Linked DNA regions of Schizosaccharomyces pombe. The gene in region 2 interacts genetically with the main gene of each other region. Each region holds a gene or a part of one and is shown on either strand. Other genes may lie near its edges.

What was found.
Region 1: of nth1 (region 2) and uve1, a mutation in one rescues a mutant of the other (synthetic rescue), as found in Schizosaccharomyces pombe (one study listed by BioGRID).
Region 3: mutations in nth1 (region 2) and hus1 together harm fitness more than expected from each alone (negative genetic interaction), as found in Schizosaccharomyces pombe (2 studies listed by BioGRID).
Region 4: mutations in nth1 (region 2) and rad1 together harm fitness more than expected from each alone (negative genetic interaction), as found in Schizosaccharomyces pombe (2 studies listed by BioGRID).

The regions. Positions count from the first base shown.
Region 1 is NC_003423.3:2,837,072-2,843,301, reverse strand, and holds uve1 (endonuclease Uve1), read left to right. Parts: upstream 1-3,716; coding exon 3,717-5,516; 3' UTR 5,517-5,730; downstream 5,731-6,230. Other genes in the region: SPOM_SPBC19C7.11 (ClC chloride channel), read right to left, coding at 26-161; integral nuclear inner membrane protein Bqt4, read right to left, coding at 891-915, 988-2,034, 2,081-2,134, 2,197-2,296, 2,336-2,367, 2,405-2,445; tRNA methyltransferase Ppm2, read left to right, coding at 5,919-6,230. UniProt on the Schizosaccharomyces pombe protein: Endonuclease for the repair of UV-irradiated DNA. Involved in the excision of cyclobutane pyrimidine dimers (CPD) and 6-4 pyrimidine pyrimidones (6-4PP) which forms the UV damage repair (UVDR) pathway. Also functions in oxidative damage repair in vivo.
Region 2 is NC_003424.3:1,105,114-1,110,922, reverse strand, and holds nth1 (DNA endonuclease III), read left to right. Parts: upstream 1-3,046; 5' UTR 3,047-3,082; coding exon 3,083-4,150; 3' UTR 4,151-4,393; downstream 4,394-5,809. Other genes in the region: AP-3 adaptor complex subunit Aps3, read left to right, coding at 1-71, 114-167, 630-806; transporter Hfl1, read right to left, coding at 813-1,868, 2,077-2,164, 2,220-2,356; Lsd1/2 complex PHD finger domain-containing protein Phf2, read right to left, coding at 4,394-4,670, 4,720-5,809. UniProt on the Schizosaccharomyces pombe protein: Bifunctional DNA N-glycosylase with associated apurinic/apyrimidinic (AP) lyase function that catalyzes the first step in base excision repair (BER), the primary repair pathway for the repair of oxidative DNA damage.
Region 3 is NC_003424.3:4,819,334-4,825,653, forward strand, and holds hus1 (checkpoint clamp complex protein Hus1), read right to left. Parts: upstream 3,371-6,320; 5' UTR 3,246-3,370; coding exon 3,203-3,245; exon of another isoform or gene 3,155-3,202; coding exon 3,046-3,154; exon of another isoform or gene 2,981-3,045; coding exon 2,968-2,980; exon of another isoform or gene 2,914-2,967; coding exon 2,319-2,913; exon of another isoform or gene 2,262-2,318; coding exon 2,158-2,261; 3' UTR 1,654-2,157; downstream 1-1,653. Other genes in the region: eIF2 alpha kinase Hri1, read right to left, coding at 1-1,040; fmp40 (adenylyltransferase), read right to left, coding at 3,610-5,316; adf1 (cofilin), read right to left, coding at 6,117-6,320. UniProt on the Schizosaccharomyces pombe protein: Essential in controlling the S-M checkpoint that couples mitosis to the completion of DNA replication. It is also required for the response to DNA damage.
Region 4 is NC_003424.3:4,975,760-4,982,020, forward strand, and holds rad1 (checkpoint clamp complex protein Rad1), read left to right. Parts: upstream 1-2,818; 5' UTR 2,819-2,859; coding exon 2,860-2,995; exon of another isoform or gene 2,996-3,121; coding exon 3,122-3,362; exon of another isoform or gene 3,363-3,405; coding exon 3,406-4,000; 3' UTR 4,001-4,379; downstream 4,380-6,261. Other genes in the region: SPOM_SPAC1952.06C (uncharacterized protein), read right to left, coding at 1-1,681; SPOM_SPAC1952.08C (pyridoxamine 5'-phosphate oxidase), read right to left, coding at 4,380-4,727, 4,803-5,027; ach1 (acetyl-CoA hydrolase), read right to left, coding at 5,575-6,261. UniProt on the Schizosaccharomyces pombe protein: Recombinational reparation of DNA damages induced by UV and gamma radiation.

The DNA.
Region 1 (6,230 bases), on a different chromosome or scaffold from region 2:
GCTTTCGAAGCTTGAAAAACCATACCGTCCGTTTCAAAATTATCAATACCGGAACCTTCTCTATTAAAAAAATATTTTTTTTTCCTTTCATTTTCATCCAAAGATCGACGTTCCGCCTGATCAAAAGAACTTGAGGAATCTGCTCTCTTTTGAGAGGACATTGATGATATAATCTAATGTGGAGAATATCAGAATTGAAGAAAATGCTCTTGTTTTTCTCCTTTGTATATCAAAAATTGATCACTAGCATTTATTATTGTATGGTAGGCAAATCGCAAGCATTAATTGCACTTTTCCAAAACTTTGTCCTCAACCTTGAATATAGTATGTTAAGGGTGTAAACCGAGCGAATTTTATTACTTATGAAGTAAGAAATATTGAAGTTGGAATATAAACAATGCACATTTGTAATATCTTCATAGTAAAAGAAGATTCTATTTTCGACTCTCTTTAGTTTTCTATAGTAGTTAGTTATTCGTTAGTCGTACAAATGTTACTTTTTGCTATTTTGCTAGATAAGTTTAAAATAGGAAAATTTAATGAAACAAAACTAAAGCAAAGTACAGTAATCAATATAACTTGGAAAAATCACATTCCGCAATAAATTGGAAACAATACACTTCCCAGGACTAAAACAACTTCATATAAGTGATAAAACATTAAGATAACCAAATAGTGCACTAGAATCAATCGGAAATTAAGTTATTTCAGCCCTAAATCAATCTGAAGCAGGTCTCCAATCCCAAATCATAATCGAAAGTAAGTAAAAAGTCATCAAGTCAATTGATTTTCACATTAAACACGAAAAACTACATCAACAAATTAAAGCACATATGTCACATTAAATTCTAACATCCAGTAGTTTCAAAATGGTAAAGGGCCCTATTAAATTAAAATAGAAAAGGTAAAATTGCGCTGCGAAAGATAGTTAGTAAATGATTTTAAATCCAGGGAAAAGACCAATTATCACAATCATTGAATACTTACCCTACACCCAAACCAATAGCAATACCACCAAGTGCTCTGACTTTCCGCTTTTCATAGTAAACTTCGCTTTCCAGTTTGGTGATACGCGACCTTTTCACAGGTACCATAGCATTGTAATCCTCGTTTTCCTCAAAATCCTCTCTACTTCTCTTCTTTGACTTTGGAGAGGATCGAATGGAAGATTTCAAAGTATCCCCAATGCTCTTTTCCAAATTCTCGAACTTCTTTTCCAACTTTCCGACAGGTTTTCTTACTTGGCTTGCAACACCAGTTACACCTTTGTTAACTTGATTAGCGACACCATTCATGCCTTTGTTGACCTGGCTTGCAACACCATTCACGCCCTTGTTAACTTGACTGGCAACATCGGTCATGCCTCTGTTAACTTGACTGGCAACGTCAGTCATGCCCTTATTGACACTTGACCTAATCTTTCCAAGAAGAGAAGGCTTGATAGGTGTCTTAATCTTTCTATCTTGGATATCAGATGTTTTTTCCTCCTCCTCAGAGGGTTGATCTTTAGAGGTTGATCCTTTTGCTTTATCATCCGAAGAAGAGGGTTGACCTACTTTTTCAGTAGAACTACCGCCTTCCTGCTTCTTGATTTCTGGCTCTTTCTTCTCAGACTTAATTTCATCCTTCGTTTCATTCTCTTCGGAATGTATTTCCTTGTCTTCTTCTTTATTATCATGTTGGAGGATTGTCTTTTTGGAATTCTCCAGATGTTCAGCAAGACGCTGACGTGTGCGCCTAGCAACAGAAGTGGTAGTGGCAGATGTCGAAGATTCAGGTTCCCCCTCAGATGTCTCTGATTTCTGCGCAGTGGGGCGTGAAGGAGTCGCATAAGTTGAAGGAGTGGAGGATGCCTCTAACAAGGCGTTAATAAACGGGGTCATGCTGTAGTCTTTGGCAAGAGCCAAGGCATCTGCAGGAGGCACCCATAGTCCAGCAACACGTTTGTCTTCAATTGGGTTTAAATTATCACGAATCCATCTCATTTCCAAGTCTTCTTCTTCTTGGGTAGCCTTAGGGAAAGCTGAACGAAACCTAATCGGGTTTAGATTTTTAGAAAAAGATATGAAAAAACGCTTACATTGACGTAGCACTAATGCTTGAATCCTTTGCCATCCTCATAAGAAAGTGAGGTCTATATTTATATACATCATTAGTATTTTTCCAAAAACAACACTGCAAAAAAAAGATAATTACACTTTAGATTCCGGATTTGTACACTTGAGACGAACAAAAGTAGCTGGTCCATCAGGAAATTCTATTACCTGAGCGCGACACTTTGGGATTAATGGTGTATCTGCTATATTAGTTTCACGTAATTTCGGGAAGCGCGTACGGTCAAGTGTATCGTCTTTATAGAGAGGGTTTCTAATATCAATTAGTCGTTTTCTTTAAATATACGAACCTTTCAGCAGGTAAAGACCTGCTTTTCTCATTCTCAGTCATGGTATTCAATTAAGGGGAAAGGTAACAATTAATCGCCGTCGTCGACGTTTGTATAATTCCTCTCTTACAACGTTTATGTAATAGCTGATTGTATAGAGCAATAGTGGTGCTACCTTAAATGATAATATCGAGTGATGCTAGGACGTACTTCGTTATAAACTATGTGCAAAGCAAGAATTACTAATTCTTTAAACACCTCGAGGTCATGTATAGTCGATGCTTATGCTGAAATGTAATGTTAATATTGTTTATTTGAAGATTCAATGTGGTTCCAATTTTTTACGCTTTTCTGTTGGGATACAAACTTAAGGAAAATATTCACACGCGGGCAGCACGCTGCCAAATGTTAAATATAAGAAGCGCTGATCATTTATTTCTGCTAGAAGTTTGTTTTGTCAATCGATCAGCCAGGTCGGCAAAAACGATGCGGCAGTAAGAAGCGTTCTTCATGCTACTGGTTGTAATAGTATTTGCAGAAAAAACCAATCGTTTCGCTGATGCAGCTATCTACGGTTCTAAAGATATACTGTATTTTATCGTAAACAATTCGCTTCGTTTACTCTACCTACATTGCGATTTCGCAATGATGGCTTCTCAACCAACTCATTAATGCTGATGGTATTAAATCTATTGTGAATTACACGGTAATTGTTTGTATATTTTTAAAGATGTCCATGTCAGCAGAAAGCAGCATTAAGACGGTTCATAATACAATATAAATGACCCGAATCCGCCTACTTCTGCTTCCCATACACACATATGCTACAGATGGTAAAATAAATTGTCGCGACTCCTTGACTTGGCCAAATTTTCATTTCAAATGTTTTTTCCTATCTGCTGTTTTTTTGATTGTTCAACTGAATCTGCAATTATTAAAGAGAAAGCAACACAATCTTTTTACTTAACATTGTATTGCTAAACTAAGCTCGATTTGAGAAACCAAAATTTCCTCGTAAAAGCAGTCCTATCTACACTGAACAATAACTGTCAAAAGTTGAATCCCTTGAGCATCAGTAATCTCATGGCCTTCCAATAAAATCATAGCGAATTTTGACGTAACAATGATACAAAACCATTTTTGGTTTACTGGGAATGAAAGAAGATTTGTCTTCACACTCGTTGATTTTGACTAGTATTGAGTCTCAATCACTTCTTGTCGATATCTCTTTTCACTTACAAGATAATAGTTGTAGGGATATAAGCAAGTTTGCGAAGGGCTTATTTCCTTCTAAATAATGTCATATTGATACTAAAATCGTTTTCATTTTTTAATGCTTAGGCTATTGAAACGAAATATTCAAATCTCTAAACGCATTGTTTTCACCATATTAAAACAAAAGGCATTTAAAGGTAATCATCCTTGTGTACCGTCGGTTTGTACCATTACTTACTCTCGTTTTCATTGTTTACCCGATACCCTTAAAAGTTTACTTCCAATGAGCTCAAAAACCACACTCTCAATGTTACCGCAAGTTAATATCGGTGCGAATTCATTCTCTGCCGAAACACCAGTCGACTTAAAAAAAGAAAATGAGACTGAGTTAGCTAATATCAGTGGACCTCACAAAAAAAGTACTTCTACGTCTACACGAAAGAGGGCACGTAGCAGTAAAAAGAAAGCGACAGATTCTGTTTCCGATAAAATTGATGAGTCTGTTGCGTCCTATGATTCTTCAACTCATCTTAGGCGATCGTCGAGATCAAAAAAACCGGTCAACTACAATTCCTCGTCAGAATCCGAATCGGAGGAGCAAATTAGTAAAGCTACTAAAAAAGTTAAACAAAAAGAGGAAGAGGAGTATGTTGAAGAAGTCGACGAAAAGTCTCTTAAAAATGAAAGTAGCTCTGACGAGTTCGAACCGGTTGTGCCGGAACAGTTGGAAACTCCAATTTCTAAACGAAGACGGTCTCGTTCTTCTGCAAAAAATTTAGAAAAAGAATCTACAATGAATCTTGATGATCATGCTCCACGAGAGATGTTTGATTGTTTGGACAAACCCATACCCTGGCGAGGACGATTGGGGTATGCTTGTTTGAATACTATTTTAAGGTCAATGAAGGAGAGGGTTTTTTGTTCACGCACCTGCCGAATTACAACCATTCAACGTGATGGGCTCGAAAGTGTCAAGCAGCTAGGTACGCAAAATGTTTTAGATTTAATCAAATTGGTTGAGTGGAATCACAACTTTGGCATTCACTTCATGAGAGTGAGTTCTGATTTATTTCCTTTCGCAAGCCATGCAAAGTATGGATATACCCTTGAATTTGCACAATCTCATCTCGAGGAGGTGGGCAAGCTGGCAAATAAATATAATCATCGATTGACTATGCATCCTGGTCAGTACACCCAGATAGCCTCTCCACGAGAAGTCGTAGTTGATTCGGCAATACGTGATTTGGCTTATCATGATGAAATTCTCAGTCGTATGAAGTTGAATGAACAATTAAATAAAGACGCTGTTTTAATTATTCACCTTGGTGGTACCTTTGAAGGAAAAAAAGAAACATTGGATAGGTTTCGTAAAAATTATCAACGCTTGTCTGATTCGGTTAAAGCTCGTTTAGTTTTAGAAAACGATGATGTTTCTTGGTCAGTTCAAGATTTATTACCTTTATGCCAAGAACTTAATATTCCTCTAGTTTTGGATTGGCATCATCACAACATAGTGCCAGGAACGCTTCGTGAAGGAAGTTTAGATTTAATGCCATTAATCCCAACTATTCGAGAAACCTGGACAAGAAAGGGAATTACACAGAAGCAACATTACTCAGAATCGGCTGATCCAACGGCGATTTCTGGGATGAAACGACGTGCTCACTCTGATAGGGTGTTTGACTTTCCACCGTGTGATCCTACAATGGATCTAATGATAGAAGCTAAGGAAAAGGAACAGGCTGTATTTGAATTGTGTAGACGTTATGAGTTACAAAATCCACCATGTCCTCTTGAAATTATGGGGCCTGAATACGATCAAACTCGAGATGGATATTATCCGCCCGGAGCTGAAAAGCGTTTAACTGCAAGAAAAAGGCGTAGTAGAAAAGAAGAAGTAGAAGAGGATGAAAAATAAAAATCCGTCATACTTTTTGATTTATGGCATAATTTAGCCATCTGCATTTTCAATGCAATCATTTTTGTCTTTTTGGCTCTAGATATTTCCGAAAAAATTCACTAGAGTACTATTTATTTTCTTATTTGCTTACTGTCCATGCTAATATTTAATCTAAAAGTTATTGTTTTATTTACAATCAAATTTCAATAAAACATTTCAATTAAATATAAAATTTAAACTAGTAATTTACGATTTACACGAATTATGTAAAACTTTAAGCAATTCCGGTCATATTGGTATTGTCGTTTTCTGATCAATATTATAATTCCTTTCCACTAATCTTCGTAAGCTTGTGTAACTTAACTGCAAAAATTCTCAAGGCTTCGAAAGATTAAATGAGCTTCTCTTTATTCATATACAATGTCAAACAAAAATCAAAGGAAAACTAAGTCAAAAGATAGAGAAGTTCGTAAAACCAATGACAGCTCAATTCTTTCAAAAGCCTCAGTTGAAAAATGTGGATATCCAGGTTTTACCGTAGGACATTCTTATTATCAACCGTTTATACAGAAATCACCTAGAAGATCGCCAAGCGTAAATAGAGGTTATTGGACACGATGCATGGCTATTCGATTTGCAGTGTACCAGTTTTTGAAGAATAAAACCGGCAAAAGAAAGGCAATAGTGAATTTAGGTGCAGGATACGACCCCTTAGCCTTTCAACTTTTAAGT
Region 2 (5,809 bases):
ACGCTACTCTCTACTTCGTTTTTGTAGTAGATGAAGGTGAAAGTGAACTAGGAATTCTCGATCTCATTCAAGTAAGTTGAAATTAGTTACTTTCCAATTTCTAACTATTAAAGGTATTTGTTGAAGCATTAGATCGATGCTTTAATAATGTTTGCGAGCTTGATTTGGTAAGTACATTTCACTACTCGTTTATCTTCCCATTATCCTACTGCTATATGTTTGAAACCATTGATTCCGTTTTTTTTTATTTAATTTGTTTTTTTCTTATTTGGTTTCGAATGTTTGGAAATTTGGCCTTACAAGAAACATTAATGTTTGTCCAATATTCGATTATCAAAAGAGCATAACATTTATTTTTATCATTTATTGAACTTAGGAACTACAAGAGTTTAATTCCTAATTCCTTTACTTCTCATCGCCTTCAAGAAAGAAATTATGCATAGAACTGGAAGTAGAGTCTCATTGTCGATGATTCGCAATCTCCAATGAAAAAAAAGAGGAGGTGTTAGTAATAATTATCCAAATACAAGTGTATACGCCAAAAAAAAAGGATATTGAAGGAAGAAATAATTAGAAGAGTTGAAAGCCATCTGTTTGAAAGCGAATTAGAAAGATCTAACACAATATAGGTTTTTAAATTCCAAGAAATACATGCTATTCTTGCTGAGGTAGTATCTGGTGGTCTTGTCTTAGAGACAAATCTGAATGAAATTGTTTTGGCAGCTCAGAATCAAATGCCAAAAACCAAACGGTCCAATGCAATGCCATTCAGCAATACATTAAGTTCTTTTGCTACTAGGTTCTAGTGACTTTTATGTATATGAAGAAGATGCATGAGTATTGTTCACTAGAAGAACTGGATAATTATAATCACCATAACGCATCTGTTTCGCTTGATTGTATAATGGTTCCATTTCATCGTCTATTTCAAATTGGAGCCCATTTTCGAAATGTGAAGTTGACATCCCTGGGATAGAAAAGTAGGACTTATTTGATTGTGGAGAGTTTTGACTATTGTTAATGAGACGCACTCGAGATTGATCATATCGAGAAATCCAGTATTTCGATTGACCTCCCTGACTGTACCGAAGACCATGACTTGTTCTATTAATCCTTCCATCGTTTCTTGAAGGTATTAAGTTCTCCCCAGGCTCAAAATTTTGATATACATAACGATCTCCATGTAGAGTTTGCAAACTATCGCACCAGACGTCTTTCAACCCGATTACGTCTTTAAAGGCTTTAAGGAGCGGTAGTCTTGCACAAGACAGCCATGTGGGTGTATCGTAATCCTCGATTCGAAAAGCGTACCAATGTGAGAGGGCAAAAAAGGGCATTTCTAAACACATGAGAACGTTCTGATTTAGTAAGGAGTAAATCCAGCCTGTTCCATTTAAAAGTCCCAGCCAGTTTGTAATGGAAAGAACGGTTTGCTGCCAGTAAGAGGCAAATATAATAGCTTTAACGGAAAGGAATTTTGGGAAAGGGCGAAAAGGAGCGAGCTCTTCATGCAAGCAAACCCAAAAAGTTGTTAGTGAATATAAAGAAAGCGTAATTGAAATGTTATAAACAAGACCTATCCAAAGGTCTGCAGAAGCATAAACAGGTTGATCTTCTCTGTCGTAGACTCCGGTGACTTTTGTTAACAGCACGGCAATCACCAGAAATGGTTTAAGCCAAGTGTATTGTAAAATCCCACGTTTTATAGAAAGGAAGGTGTAAGGATCACTTAGGTCAATATCATCTTGCAAATAATTCAAGGGCCATAACCTAGGACGAGGCAGATGTCCATGCAAACTAATAACTGCAGCCCGTTCTCCGCCAAGATAATCAATTAATAAACAGAAAAAGCAATACAAAGCGAATGCCTAATTTATTGTTAGAAATTATTCCATTAAAACCTCAATTACGCCTCATTAACTAACTAAACTAGTAAACCAACATAGTACAACTCATAACAGCCAAACCACTCTTTCAGTCAACCCCTTTTCAAGCATTTTAAAACAAATCTGCAATATATTGATTGCCAAGGAAGGTACTTCATTCAATGGCAACGGCTAAATGAGAAAAACCTACCTCGTAAATTTCACGAAACGGTTCGAAAATACTTCCAATTTTTTCATTGTATACCGATAAAAACGATACAGAAGAGTAAATTACAATCCTAGCAAAGCATTAGTACATTTCTATATCAGTCAAAGAATTTCAATTTTACGAACATCATCAAAATTCGCACCACAGAACGCTGTAAGACTGGTTTTTTGTAATTTTTCAAATGAGTAATGATAGAAATACATGATAGCACTAAAGCAATGGCTACGAAGAAGCCGCATAATGCGACTATTTCGTTGTCCATGAAATTAGAGCTGATCGTGATGAAGGGACAAAAATGCAGGCAAGGTGGCTACCACAAGCTATAAGGGGGCCTTCTCCAATTCCAAACAGATACTACCTACTACGGGCTTTACGGTGTTTGTACGCATAAGCTATAGATAAAGTACCGAAACTTTGTGATGTGGAAGAGTTCATCGAAGCTAATATTGATTTACCTCTTTAGTATGGATATTGTTTTATAGCAAAAGTAAATTAATAATACTGTCTTACAGGATAATTTGCCCTATAGCTGTAGTACTGCTGTAAAAATCATTTGTTTCCATAATACTAGCAATTCGTGATCTTTAATTAATCTAATTTTTGTTTTTTTTTTAAACTCTACTTTCCTCCCTTCTGTATGATGGAGGACCTAAAGTAATGTCTCCCATAGCATTCTGATGATTCTTAAGCTGACTTTTTGAAAAAGAAGCAGTAAAATATAATGAGTGTTTGTTTCTTAATGCGTAGGAGAATTTCGCCTTGGCATATATATGGCTTAGTTAAAAAATTATTTCTTTTATAAAATTGAGAAACTCCAAGTCAGACTATTACCGCATTGTATTCAAAACAAATCACTTATAAATTTTAATATTTTTGCGCTCACCTGCGTTGTTTCTTGGATGTAATATCGCTAAAGTTCAGTAAATGAGTTGTTGAAGAAAATAAAATCTTTAGCCAAGACTGCAGACAAATTTGTATTTGTTAAGCAATGAGTAAAGACTACGGAACTCCTCCTGAGAACTGGAGGGAGGTTTACGATGAAATTTGTAAAATGAAAGCCAAGGTCGTAGCGCCTGTAGACGTTCAGGGTTGTCATACATTAGGAGAACGTAATGATCCAAAAAAATTTCGATTTCAAACACTGGTGGCATTGATGCTTTCTAGCCAAACAAAAGATATAGTACTGGGTCCTACCATGCGAAACTTAAAAGAAAAATTAGCTGGAGGACTTTGTTTAGAAGATATCCAAAATATTGATGAAGTTTCTCTAAATAAACTAATCGAGAAAGTTGGTTTTCATAACCGAAAAACCATTTATTTGAAACAAATGGCACGTATTTTATCAGAAAAGTTCCAAGGAGATATTCCGGACACCGTAGAAGACCTAATGACTCTCCCAGGTGTGGGGCCTAAAATGGGATATCTATGTATGAGTATTGCATGGAATAAAACTGTTGGAATTGGAGTAGATGTTCACGTACATCGTATATGTAATCTTCTTCATTGGTGTAATACGAAAACTGAAGAACAGACTAGAGCTGCTTTGCAAAGCTGGCTGCCTAAGGAATTATGGTTTGAGCTGAACCATACACTTGTCGGTTTTGGGCAAACAATCTGTTTACCAAGAGGAAGGCGCTGTGATATGTGTACTTTATCTTCTAAGGGCTTGTGTCCTAGCGCCTTTAAAGAAAAAAGTGGCATCACAATAACTAAGAGAAAAGTCAAAACGATTAAAAGAGTCAAAAAAAGACCTGCTTCTGAGTCACCTCCTCTATCTCCACTCTCCCTTCCTACAGATGATTTGTATTACCAAAGCATCGAAGATAAATCACTTATAAAACTTGAGGACTTGGACCCTGTTGATAGTATATCACACATGAATGAACCTTTGAAAAAAGAACCAGCCGCTGATATTGATGTAGATCAGAAGCCACCTGTCGCATTCCATTCAACTACAAAAGAAACTAGGTCACTGCGCAGGTCAAAGCGAGTTGCAAAAAAATCATCCCAGTATTTCTCCCAACAAAGTTTACAAGATATTGAAGATCTGGTTTAATTTATTTTTAGGACCGTAAATTTTGGACAACATAAATCTGTTATTTATTTACATGAATTACTCAAAATTATTTATTCTTTACAACTCCGTCTTTAAACATATTCAAGAACCTTTTGCTACTGACTGTATAGTTATAATATCCTCTACCTTTACTTTTTAATAATTTTTTTAAATCTTGGAATAAATTGAAATCATTAATGTTGTTATACCCTTCAACAAACAATGCAGAATGTAAGATACTCGTTAAATACTACTAAGAACAATTGGAGTTTCGTCGAACATATAATAAGTACAAAAGTTTTCGGTTAAATCCTCTGTGTGAGGCGTATACAGCATCCAATCGATAGGAATGGGGCCGGTTATAGATATGTCAGGGCGCACTGATGGTCGATCGGCATCAAACGTTCTGTTCAGTTCATAGCTGCTACCCCTCGCATCACGTAAAACACGGTTTTTACGGACCAGTCTGTTTAAGCTTCGAGTTATGTTCGAATTTTTAATTTTTCTATTCGAGTATTTACTAGAATATTAGTAATTGACGATGTCAGGAAAATATATAGAAAACTTACGCTTGAATAGTGTTAGTGATAGTAGAAAAAGAAACAGCAGCAGGGAAAGATTCTAAAACTTGTAAAACTATTTCATCTTCATTGCTATATTCTTGTAAGTATTCATCTATGGTAGGAATTTTTTCACTCTCCATGTATTGCTTATCCACTTCAACTGGTTCGGTCGAAGGTAAGGACGTCGAATGCTTGGTTGTTTTCGATTGTGATTCTGTTCCATTATTTAGACTTAGATACTGATCTCCCGTTACAGGTTCATTCATAGTAGCTGTAAAGGCAGACCTTTTGCTTTGGAGCTCTTGGACAATAGTGGAAGTTTTAGGACTATAGAACGGGATGTCGGGATGTAATTGCTCACAGAATAATAGGATGTCAACCAGTTGGGAGATCGGAAGACTTAAAAGATAAGACTTTTTCTCTTCCGAAGACAGATTTAGTTCTCGTGCCGTAGTTCCAGTTACGAGAGGCGCTTGCTTTTTTCTCCTAATGCAATCATCACAAAACCATTCTCCATTGGGGGAATCTAAAAGTTCATCAGAAATATAGGGTTCATGACAAAGTTGATGGAATGGAGTGTTACAACCATCACAGAAAACGATGCGATTTTTTGGTGGAGATTGAAGTCGTTGACAAACCGAACATTTCATAGCTAATGCGACCACAGGTCGACGACCTGGGCCACGTCGTCTAGTAGGTAATTTTACAAGGGGATCGAAATGATTAGGGCGATGCACTTTTCTTCCTGATTTTGTTTTGACACCTTCCAAATTAAATTGCTCTTCCCTACCATCTTCAGTAGAAAAGAGGGCGTCAGCGGTGTTGTCACGTTCAATAGCCAAACTGGCAGGCCATGATCTTTTCCGAGCAATGTTCATAGCAATTGACATAGGAGGTAATGGCGATGAACTTGCAGGAACATTTGGGGGTAACGCAGATTTTGTTTGGGAATCAGCACTTCTATGATGCGCATAATTAGATGAAGATGCGTCTTCAGTGAAAGGTGCCTGTTCGCTTTTTGCATCGGTTTCCTGATTTTTACTAGATTCTATTTCTTTAGCAACATCATCATTTTTGTACGAACCGAAAGCACCTG
Region 3 (6,320 bases), 3.7 Mb from region 2:
GAGTCCTCTTGGAATAGTATCTGAACTGATGAAGGATAAGTATGCTGAAGTAACCCAGTATCCATATCAAACATAAAATTATCTATATCTGCTGATTGAGATAATGTCTCATCTGCCGAAGCTAAAGGTTCTTCTTCGATTTGCTTTTCAGATGACGGTAAGAGCTCGACCCAACTAGAAAAGAATCTTATCACATTGGGATGGTTTAATCTTGCCAAGGTCCTAGATTCACGGAATATGTTAGAAGAAGTGGAGAAAGAACGTAACCGAAGTGGAATTTTTTTTAAAGCATATTCAACTCCATCGAATTTATTTCGAGCTTTATACACTGAACCATAACCGCCTTTACCAAGTAACTCAAGTTCTTCAAAATCACTTGCATATCTTGACCTTTGGACTGTGGGAAAGCTATCAAAGTTGCTAAAAGACAAGTTACCGGTTCCATCTTTGTGCTCACAAAAATCAGCAAACGTGGAGGACTCCAAAGTGGTTTGTGGAAAGCAAGATTCCAATGCTTCAACTGGTAAATGATTTAACCTATTAGACAATACGTTTACTGAAGGCTTGACATTCATCACATCGTCTTCGTATCCACCATCACTCAATACGCTCAAGAAGGAAGCAGTTTTCGCCAAAACGCCATCAGGGCTGGAATACCTCGATTTCTTAGAATCCTTAGTAGAGCTCATGGGTAAGGTACTCCGAAAAGCTTTAGATAAGAGGTTATGAAGAGAATCGGCATAAGCATTACGAATTGGTTCAAGCTCCTCGGAGAACTCAAAATCTATGATACCTGAATTTTGAAGCGAATGAGCAACATATAAAAACATTTGCTTCGATTGCTCTGGAGTTTGATCAGAATGCTTACAAAAGCTTTCTAACAACGCAACGAGAAGCAACTTGCAGGAACTTTGAGTATCCGCGGTTTTTTTTTCGAAATTCTGTTTGTAACCGAGACCAATTGTCGGCATAATCCGACTGATATTTTCCTTGGCATAGTTGCAATCCCTTTTCGAACATTTAGTAGAAGTGCCGAGCATTCTTGTGTGAATGAATCAAATCAAAGCAAATAAGAAAAGAGAAAGAAGAATTGAATAAGATGAGTAATTTAAAACATGAAAATTATTCCTTTTTTTTTTCTCTAAATGAAACGAAATGTACAATCCTAATTATCAGTCTATATTGAATATATAACAATAATAGTAACAATGCTATCTATGAAAACAAGAAAGAATTTGCAATTAAGGAACGGTAAAACTATTATAGAAAGAAGGTACGTTTAAGTCAATTTATATGTCTGTATATGTGTTGTTTATGTAGCGGATTTCCCCGGATACCTCTCCATATTTAAGTTATTGTGGGATTTTCACTATCGTTACCTCTATTGCGATACCAACTTTTCTAGGTAACAACGTTCAGCCCCTTTCGTACTGAATGTTGGTACAGTTTACATGTGTAGCCGACTGCATCGGAGGAGGAATAACTATCGAACATAGTCAATTCCGATGACAGACAGCCTGAAATTTTCGCACTTTTAAAGAGGAACTCGCCATTTTCATCACTTCTACGTAAAATGTATAGCGATGCCTCCAAAGTACAAGAAAGAATAGGCGGAAATTAATAGAAGCTACAGTCAATGGCATATATCTTCTCAAAAAAACGATTAAAATATTCAATTTTTATTAAGTATATATTTCCCATTGAGCACTTAAATGTTCAATTGAGACTTTATAGATTTCTGAACAGTTGCTTGTCTAAAAGATTAAAGAAAGATGAACCAAGGTTTATTCATATTCAAGTTAATTGCTTGAAAACATACGTTTGTGTTTAATCGTATGTATCTCTCATTGAAAACGTGAAAACATATGGATTTTATCAACAGATTTTCTGTGACTTGAACATTATATTTCTTTTTGGTGTTATCCTTTTAAGAGATATCAACGGAATAGTAAAACACTGAGTTGCCGAGATTACAACAACTGTATAAAATAAATAAAAAAGAACGGTAAGATCGATAAAGGAAGAGAGAGAAAATAAGTATAAGCATGGTAGATGTTGATTAATCTCTTTTCATTTTAATGTACATTAAAAATGTGGCTAGTCACTCATAACAATTATTCGTTAATTAAATCAAATCATAAACAAATTGAAGTAACCTTAGTCCACATAGGTACTAATGTAGTATGTTAAAACAGCCGTATGTTCATCTTCTGGATCTGTTATATAAACATAAAGTACTAGCGCATGTCCTTCACAGAAACCTGTAATGTAAAAAGGTTAGTTCGTGGTCATAAAAAGGATTCTCTCATAGTACATACACGCTATTACACGCTTTGCAACACTGGATATTTTTAACATGTTGACTAAGTCCTTGCTGTCTAGTCTCATGTGAACAAATTCTTCGGGTGCCCTTGTTTGAGAGGGATGTCGACTGATGTCTTCGACTTGACTAGGATCTAACTCTGGATTCTCTAATCCTTTCCATTTTGTGCTTACTCTAGCTGAAGGTATGTTTACCGATAACTGCAATTCGCCTGACATGTTGGCTGACATTATAATACGGTCTGAAAGACTCTTGTATTTGTCCACGACGTGTCTTAGAAAATTCAGTTGTGGAAGGAATATATGACAGTCTGGTTCAGGAGCAGTTGGTTCCTTAATAACTGACACGTATGATTGTGATAGTACTCGAACAGGTATATTATGAGTCACAATATTCGAACCAAACGCCCTTCCACTCCAAGTGGTAGACAACGAAAGTAATGGCTGGTTATTCTTCTTGGATAGACGAACAGTAGAATCACTAGCGTTGGCCGCTGATCGTAAGGCTTTATAGAAATTATCTATAGGAACTTCTAGATTTATCACGTTGTCTGCATTGCTTTGGACGACATAGTCCTCAAATATTGTTTCCTTTCCGTTTACGTTAGTTAGGGCAATCAAATAGAAAAAGATAGTTAATCATACGACTTCTAAAACTCTGTTTCTTTATTAGTTTCACAATGTGATTTTTTTCACCGTTAAATGCTTAATATCTTCACTTACGACCAAACTTGAGTCATCCTAAAATCTGGCACTATCACAAAATTTACAGTTTCAGGCATCAGACGAAGCCAGCAAAATCTTCCAATTTTATCTAGCGCCTGAACAAGACCTAAATTTGATTAGTAAACGAACTTTCTGCTGATCTTTTCCAACTTACGCGTCAACGTGTACAAGTTGCTAATCCTTGTTTTAAATCTCATTTTCAGTCTTTGATTTAACTAATGAGATTGAGATTTTTTGGCATTTTGTTTATTCAAGCGTTTAGCAGGTTAAAGTCGACCAATAATAAATTTTCGGTCGAAAAAACTACGAACGCGTAAAAGCCAGCTAAGAAATAGCAAACTGGGCATTAGCAACTGCATCGCAATCTTTATTAAGCAAATGCAAATTTTAATGGCAAGTGGAATAAAATTAATGAATAAAATTTAAAAAGATTTACAAAAGTCTTAGAGTCTAAAAAAAATTATACTCAAGAGCCTATTCGTTGTATCATTTATTTCATACGATTAGCTATTCCTAAATTTTAAATTACATTAAAAAAATAAATGGCAAGTAAGAAGGGTTCTAGCTAGAGCAGGAACATTGAATTTGGCTTTTGGAGGGAGTAGTGTTATAGCATAAATAATCCTCTTCTTCCTTGGAAAACCCCCAAGTATCTTCGAACGGACAGGCAGCCATTTTACACACTTTTTTAAAAAGCTCAAATTTCCCGATGTATGCTTCTTTAATCACCTCTTCAAGAACCCAATTTCTAAGAGTAAAATGTGGGTTGACTTTTTTCATGCTCGCTAATCGGGATGAATCTTCCTGAGTTTTCGTTGCTTCACTATATCGACCAACCCAATTAGTGAAAGCTTTGACAGATTCATTTCTAACTCTTTCATTATTCGGGTTTAGACAAATACATGCTTGCATCAATTTTGCAGCATATTCTTCATTCTCCATTGAAGAGGGAGAGTTTCTAGAAAGAAAGGAAAAACAATTTGGCATATCCAATTCATAATCCTCCAAAATTTGTAACAAATCAGTTATCAGAATTTTGTTAGATGAGTCAGAGGGAAGACCCACTCGTTTGAACATAAGATCATAGAAATCATTCTGGACAATATTTTTATACTCTTCTACTATCTTTTCAAAAACTTCAGAAGTATAAGCAAACGCCTTTTTTAACAAATCAGTAGAGTTATGAAGTTGTTCCATATATTGCAAGTCATCAACTTTGTCGCAAGCTCCAATTAACTCAACCAAAGCAGATGCTAATTTTGATAAATTCCAAATAATAATATCAGGTTGGTTGCGATATGAATATCGCAAAAATACATCGTCATGATTAGGTGTAAAAGATGGGTTGTAAACATCTAAAAATCCAAAAGGTCCATAATCAATTGATAGTCCCAGTATACTGGTATTATCAGTATTCAAAACACCATTCATAAATCCATATGCTTGCCATTTGGCTACAGTTTTAGCATTTCGATATGCAACATCTCGAAGAAGTTTTTCGTAGCGATTTCCAGTATCTCCACCATGAAATCCATCTTTTAAAACGAAATTTAGACAATAGTCGGCTAATTTCCGTAAAGACTCAATTTGATTATTAATCCCCTGGAGATCGAAAGTCCCAATTCTGATCCAAGAAGGGGCCATACGGCAAACAACGGCGCAAGGCTCTACAGTCTCACGTTGTGCTACAACACCTTCAAGATTGGAAATTGCCAGAGCCTGTGTTGTTGGAATGCCTAGAGCATATAAAGCTTCACAACATAAATATTCTCGAATGCTAGATCTTAAAACAGCCTTTCCATCTGCAAATCGAGAGTATGGTGTTCTTCCTGCGCCTTTGACTTGAATCTCAAAGCGTTTTCCAGTTTCCGGGTTGGTAAGTTCGCATAAGGATACTACGCGGCCATCACCCAACTGACCTGCCCAATCCCCAAATTGGTATCCTCCATAACATTGCGCCCAAGGACAACACTTATTGACATCAACGTTAGAACCGACAACAAGCTGTTGAAAAGCTTCAGTTTGAGTTTCAGATTCTTCGAGTCCTAATGACTTCACGGACGAAGGGCTATAAGCTAATAATTGAGAATTGGCTTTTAGTGATGGAGTCAAATAAGTAAATAAGCCGCCGCCTTCCACAAATCGAGGAACATGTAAGATTCTGTCATCAGCCTTTTTCATTGCCTGTACGGTCGGTACCAGTGGATCAGGCGGAAGATTTGATGTGAACGTTGAGCTGACAGGGAGATCCTTCAATTTTTTTGACATCGTATTGGTATATCGAATTAATGTTCTTTGCATACCAATGTTTGATTGTGCCCCAGTGTAAATTTGCTTACTTTATTGATTATAATAACAATAAAAGCAGCAATTCACTTACATTTGATCAATAACAGATCAAGTAGACTAGTACGTTGAAAATAGCTGGTAAAATACATGCTATGTGATCAATGAGCAAACTAATGAAAACATCATTTTAAAATGATAGCGAATGAACAGCAATTGTTATATTAATATGGAATGGCATTACTTTGTAGATCGTTGGATTTCGTAATTTGTTAATTAGCATTTTTAGGAATGCAGAATCATTATATATAGAGGAATATTTGTAACAATTTCAATGACTAAATAGTGGTAGATGAAATCTACAGAATTAAAAAGTCGGAACTGAGAAAATAAAACTAAGCTTACTTACTATACCATACTTGAAGTAGATGAATAAAAACCTGCAAGCACCCAGGCACTCAAACATTTCAGCTAGTGGTGGAAACTGCGTAGAACTAATTTCTCTATGATTGCTTGTCAATTACATTGGCAAATAACTTGCAGTGTTTTTCATATACCGACTCATCCGTTATCACATGACAAATTTTTTAAAGTAGATATACTATTGACAAATTAAATATCAACAGGAAACCAACGTACACTTAAATCTTTGTATTTATAGTTCTAAATATATAGAAAAAGATATTTAAGGAGCGTTGAAGGATCGGTTTGCATACCGAAACGAAGTTATTTAATTTCATTTCGTATTACGCATGAGTCAAGAAATCGTAACCAAAAGTGTTTTACTTACGAGTAACCTTCTCAAGAACTGTCTCATAAGCAACTTCGGAGAAATCAGTTGCTTGGATGTCAGTACCGATTCCAGTAAAAGCGCGACGTAAAGTATCTTTAGAAGAAGAGTAAACCATCTTAGATTTAATGGGAGCAACATCAGGAGACCAGCTAATAAAGATAATCTTGTTACGAACACCTTCTCCGAGATTGAA
Region 4 (6,261 bases), 3.9 Mb from region 2:
GCATAGATCCAAGTAAAACAGTAACCATAGGTTTTTCGTCAATTCTGTAGTAAGAGTCGTTGGCCTCCACCTCTTCGGACTCCACCGTCGGTTCTTCAAGGTTTTCATGATAATTTTTTAGAGCATCAGTCAACTCATCAATTGGAATGGATGCTTCGGAAAACAGCATCTTAATTTTTTTCAATGTCACTGTATTTTCAACGCATAACCACGAAAGGATAAGAACTGTAGATTGGAAAGGAAACAGTCCATGATCAATTTGTTGGAGAAACCATTTGGTACTCTTTTCCTCCGAATCAGGACTAAAATCAAGTTTTCTGCTTTGGTCAATACCTTTGAGTTGGATTCTCAAGCGATCGTAAATTTTGAAAAGGCGTTTCATTTTTTCAAAGTCATTTTCAATGAATTTCCGTAAAAAGCGCACCCTTTCTACGGTGTCAGCAGGTAAAGATCGAAATAAAGATGCCAGAATAGCTAATATATGTTCCAGAGTATCGGCTGCAGATATTTTCATAAACGCAGCAAAAATATATTTCAAACCGCCTGCTTCTACAAATCGAATACAATAAGGAGTGGAAAGAGGCCCAAATAAAAGATAGTCCAAAACTTTGATTGTAGAATAACGGCTTTTTCCTTTATGTTTCATATTTAGTATGCATAATTCAATACCTTCCTCTTTTAGAAAAAGGGATTTTCCTTTCGTTTCTTGAACCAGACTACATAAGCAATCAAACACGTTTTCCATCATTTCTTCTTCTGATCCTTGGGTTGGATCACGAAGCCTATAAGGACTGATCCGGCGCAACAAAAGATCAATCCCATTCAAGTTGCACACTTTCAATTTAGCTTCTTTTGAATTAGCGAGAATGATAGCTAAAATTTCAACAGCGTACTGCAAATTAGTTGATATAGAAGTTTCATCAACAGACGATCTACTCAGTAACCATTCTACCAATGTTGTGTTTTCAACTATTATTGAACAAATGCTATTGTCCACAGATAATAAATTCTCCATAAGAGAGAGCACACAATATACTCCATGTCGGTCTTCCTCATTAGATTCGTCAAACCTTTTGATTGTATTTGAAAGCAAAGGAAGCAAACCAGAATCTATAAGGGAAGTAAATAAGGAGTTTAATGCGTCTGGGTCAACATCCTCGTCAGTCAGTTCTATCAATAGCTCCAATACCGTAATAGTAATATCCGCATTTTCATGGTTCATTAATTCTAAAAACGTGGAAACACAATCTAATTTAAGGAAAATGGGTATGAGGATAGGATACTCTGAAAGCACATTGAAGCTTCGAATTTCCAGATCAAGATCTGCCTCTGATTCTATAAACCTTTGAGGAGAAGTAGAATACTTGATGCGTAACTCCTGATTATTATTAATTGTTTTTTCAAGTCGTACTACCATGCGCTTCAATTCAGTAGGAGTCAATGAAGCAGGTTCTTCCTGGGCTTCCTGTTCGTCTAAAAAGTCTAAAACGGTTTTTTCACTCTTTTTAAGCCCACTTCCAAAAAATCTACCTCCTTCCTCGTCAAATTCTTCATTCTCCTCATCGCTATTCTCTTCAGCGAGTCTTCTGCGACTACTAGCTGGCTCCAAAGAGTCTGCTTCCTCAGGGTTCCTTTTCTTATTTGTTTCCTCGGTATTTTTAAAAATTGAATCTACATCCATTTAGAATAATGTATTTTTTATGCGCCAGTTTCCTTTTCAAATTGAATATATGAAAACCGTCTGATACAAAATAAATAATTTTGACAAACTTATATTTTATAGCCGCATCAAGTAAAATAAAAGCCTTATGAAAAGACTATCGTGCAATTCAATTATAACGCCTGACTCGTTCCTAAAATTCCTCTCGTTTACCAGTTCAAGTAAAAGCTAGGTAAGATGTAGGCATGTACAAAGTGTATCAAAAGTGAAAACCAGAATCTAAGCTTGGAAAAAAATAATAACAGCAAGTAAATTCCCCTCTGTTTTATAAATATTATACAACTCTTATATCCAAGAAAGGAGAGATTGGAAGAAGGATAAAAAGTGTTTATTTAAGAGAAGAGAAGCTAAATAAAGTGCATGCAGTTAACTCGAAATTTTTTAGGTTGATTAAATAAGGAAGAAATTAGATCCATCTTGTATTACCTTTCTTTTAATTGTAGCAATGACTTTTCAAAAGAGGGTGTAAAAATGACATCCTAACTGTATATATGATAAAATTACAATTATGGATTTTCTAAAGCAATTTAAATTTAGCTATTATCACTAAAACAGTTCGGCAATTTGCAATATTTGTCTAATAAATGAACCATTTGTTTCATAAACAATCAAATTCATTAAGCTACAAATCCTTAATTGTATCTTTAGTTTTGAGTCAATCAACTTACTGGGATCCTATAGCTTTTTTGAATATCATTTGGTAAATTCAAATATGGCTCTTAAAACTTGTATTTAATTTGATAAAATTTCTGTGTCGAGAGATAAATAAATAAAGACAGTTAGAAGTAGATGCTATTCAATTAATAAATAAAATACTCGTCTATTAAGCTTTACGGCTTTCCAAAAATTTATATATCAGAATAAAATATTTCACAATTTTTTTTTTTTTAAAAAAGAAAAAGCAATCTCAATTTTCATTTCCTTTAGTAATCTGCATACCTTTTAAAATTGTGCACCTTTTCGAATTTTACTAAATAACTTCTAACTTGAACTGTCTTTCTTATTCTGCGTTTGGTCTTGTAATCAAGTGTCAAGTCCTTTAATATCAGAAGGAAAAATTATCAATTTATAAGATTAGCATTTACGGGTGTTCAAGTTGTAGCATATAACCAATTTTTTATTGTTGGACGTAAATTCGCATGTTTCAAGCAGAAACAGTATGCTTAAAGCAGATTCAGTCAACATTACGATGCATTGATTTTTCAAAGGAATGTACTATCGAAATCACAAGTCGTGGACTACGGTTTGCAGTGGAGGAATCGCAGTCTTTGCAGGGTAAGACAAGTCGAGTCTCACATCTATGATCGTTAAAAAATTTGAAGCTACTTAATAAAGTTTCATATATTAATGCGATTCTTGAAATGCATTCACTTTTTCTTTATTGTTCACTCACACATTAAGCTCACGCCTTTCTTGATAAGTCGTTGTTTCAAACGTTTAATTTTCAGGGTGATTCAGATGGGGATACATATATGTTCCAGACGATGATTTCACCTCTTTTACAATCATTATCAATTTATACAGATGGAAAAGAACGGATTTCAACTAGTGCCTGGGATCAACCCACTGTAAACATAATGCACAAACGAGGCGTTATCTGCAAAGTACAGTATAATGGACCCGGCTGTCCATTTATATGGGAGTAAGGATTTTATCATTAACATTCTGTACTGACAAAAATAAAGAGTAGAGGAAATGGCTGGTTATGCTACGGCTTGTGAACTGTTGACTATGGAATGTGAGGACGACGTTGACATCAATAGACTTGCAAGCACATTGTGCACGAAGATCATTATGAAAAGTAACTGGCTATATGATGCCTTGGTGGAATTAGACAATAACATGGGCGAAAATTTAATTATTCATACATCATCCCAAAAATCAACCTTCTTATTGAGATGTGTAGGGGCATTATCCACTACGGAAATAGAATATCCAAACGAGAAAAGTGTTTTAGAGTCTTTTGAAACTGATTCTGAAAACACTTATTCCTACCGCTTCTCATTAATAAGACATGCGCTGAAAGCATTACAAGTGGGTTCTAAAGTAAACCTACGTATTGATGAAAATGGAACTTTGAGCATTCAAATCATGCTTGTCGGTCAAGAAGGGCTTTGTACGTTTGTAGACTTTTGTATTGTTCCTTTGGACCTTGTAAGTGAAGATGAGGAGGAGGATGAAGAAGAAGAACCAGCAGAATCTAATCAGTCGGACAATAACGTTTTACGAAACGATCCGAATTATCGAGGAGATGCGGAGACCGAGGATGAGGATAGCTAAATGATAATTTTAGCACTCAGCACTTTAGTGTTTCCGATAACTTCAAAAAAAGAAAAAGGTACAATTGATACTGAACAACTTATGATAATACACTTATTCAACGAATCATGATTTATTTCCCTGCTTTTTGTTTGGTCTTATTTAGGTAGCTTAAAGTCACACCGTTTCCTCACTTTTTCTATGCTTATTTAACACACGTATAAACAAGACGCTTTCCACTAGGCTGTCTAGCAAAGCATGTAGCCAACAAAATTCCCATGTATCATACACACGATTATACATTATGGTTAGATCTACGAAGCATTCAAAAATTCTTCAAACATTATTGATTTTTAAAAAATAGAAAATGCAAAGTGACACTCATAAAACATTTGTTTACTCAAAATGGAGTCTCATCTCCTCTTGCATTCCATTTTTGGACGTTGTTGAGTCTCTGATCACAAATTCTCGCACTTTCCAACTTTATCTTGATAATTCTCATATCCTCACCCTCCACGTATTGTTTCGTATTACCCTTGTCATTAGTGTTTAAATGCTTTTCTCTAAAGAATTCCTCTTCTTTGCTATTCTTTGGAAGAACGGTAGCAAGGCCATTCAAGGTCACTGATGTATTCGAGAACTGAGCCTGATTCATTTTATAAAGTAAGGTGTACAATGAGGAGGCATCAGGATCTGTTTCTTGACGATTAGTGGTCCAGTCATGAACTAGTAATGATACTCGAGGATTCTAGTCATCATGTTAGAAAAAAGAAAATACCAATCAGGATCAAGGATAAGTTAAACTTTTAAATATGATACATACCGAACTGATGTTAAAATATTTTTTACTGTTTTCTCCTGTTGACAAAATAATGCAATCCTCCACTTCGTAAGGGGCAGCGCTTCCTGCAGGTAAATAGGTAAATGTCATCAAAGAAGAGTGAGGCTGATCATGAAAGCAAGTAGCTAGTTGAATATATTTGGATGAGGACAAGCATCTCTTGATTTGGCTGGGGAACTCATGAGATGAATCGACTTTTGAGGCCATATTTACTTTCAGGTTATTGTGGTGCGACAAAGATTATAATTTGCAGAATAAATACTGGTGAATGGAAACTATTGATCCAGACAAAACTGTACGATAATTTCTATACTTGATTATCCTTTCCTAAATTTTGGTGGTACTCCTCTCTGAGTAAGCAGGTTTGATACTAGGTTAATAGCAGAAATGCTGACTCACAACTCAACGTAATATAGAGGTATGTACTAAACAGCCAACTTACGAATTTTGCAGGGGAACTAAAGATTAATAATCTTCAAAGGAATACTGCTCATAAAATAAACGCGCTCATTTCTGTGTATCTTGGAAAATTCATACGCATTATGATTGTTGGATTTACTTACTCAAAACTAATTTCCTTAACTTATAAACACTAATTTTAGTATACGGATTTTTTTTATTTCGTAAATTAAATTAATGTAAAAATGAAATACATTAAGTCATAACAGCACGAAGAAGCTGTATTTTAGTCGTAACAAGGTTTTGGAAAACCCTTAGAAAGAGTAAAAGTGGCTATAACAACTGATAACTAAATTTACCAATGATCGATCTTCATCGTTCCTTTTTCTAAAAGGTTGAGCTGCATCTTGAAAGCATTGGCAAGAATATGGGGTTCATGACCAGCTCCTCTAGCTAAACAGTAGTTTTCGGCAATATCGAAATACTCTCTGAGCAGAGGCTTATAGTCAGGATGAGCACACTTGTCAATAACCTCACGAGCACGTTCGGTAGGAGACAAGCCTCGTAAATCAGCCAATCCTTGCTCTGTAACCAAAATATCCAAATCATGTTCGGTTTGGTCAACATGGGTAGCCATAGGAACAATACAAGTGATACCAGTAGGATCCTTCTTCGAAGGACGAACCGATGGTGTATGCATAATACTTAATTTCGCATTACGCAAGAAATCAGCAGAACCACCTAAACCGTTCAACATTCTGCTTCCCAAAACATTTGTACTATTGGCATGAGCGTAAATATCGGCTTCCACAGGAGTATTCATAGCGATGCAACCAAGACGGCGGATAATTTCAGGGTGATTGGAAATTACTTGAGGGCGTAACAAAATTCTTTCCTTGTAGTAATCATAGTTTGAGTAGAATTTTTCAAATCCCTGAGGAGAAAAACGGGTTGAGGTAGCAGTAGCAAAACGTAACTTTTCAGAGTCAAAGAGAGGCAAGAAAGTATCTTGTAAGACTTCTGTCCACACTTCGAGATCTTT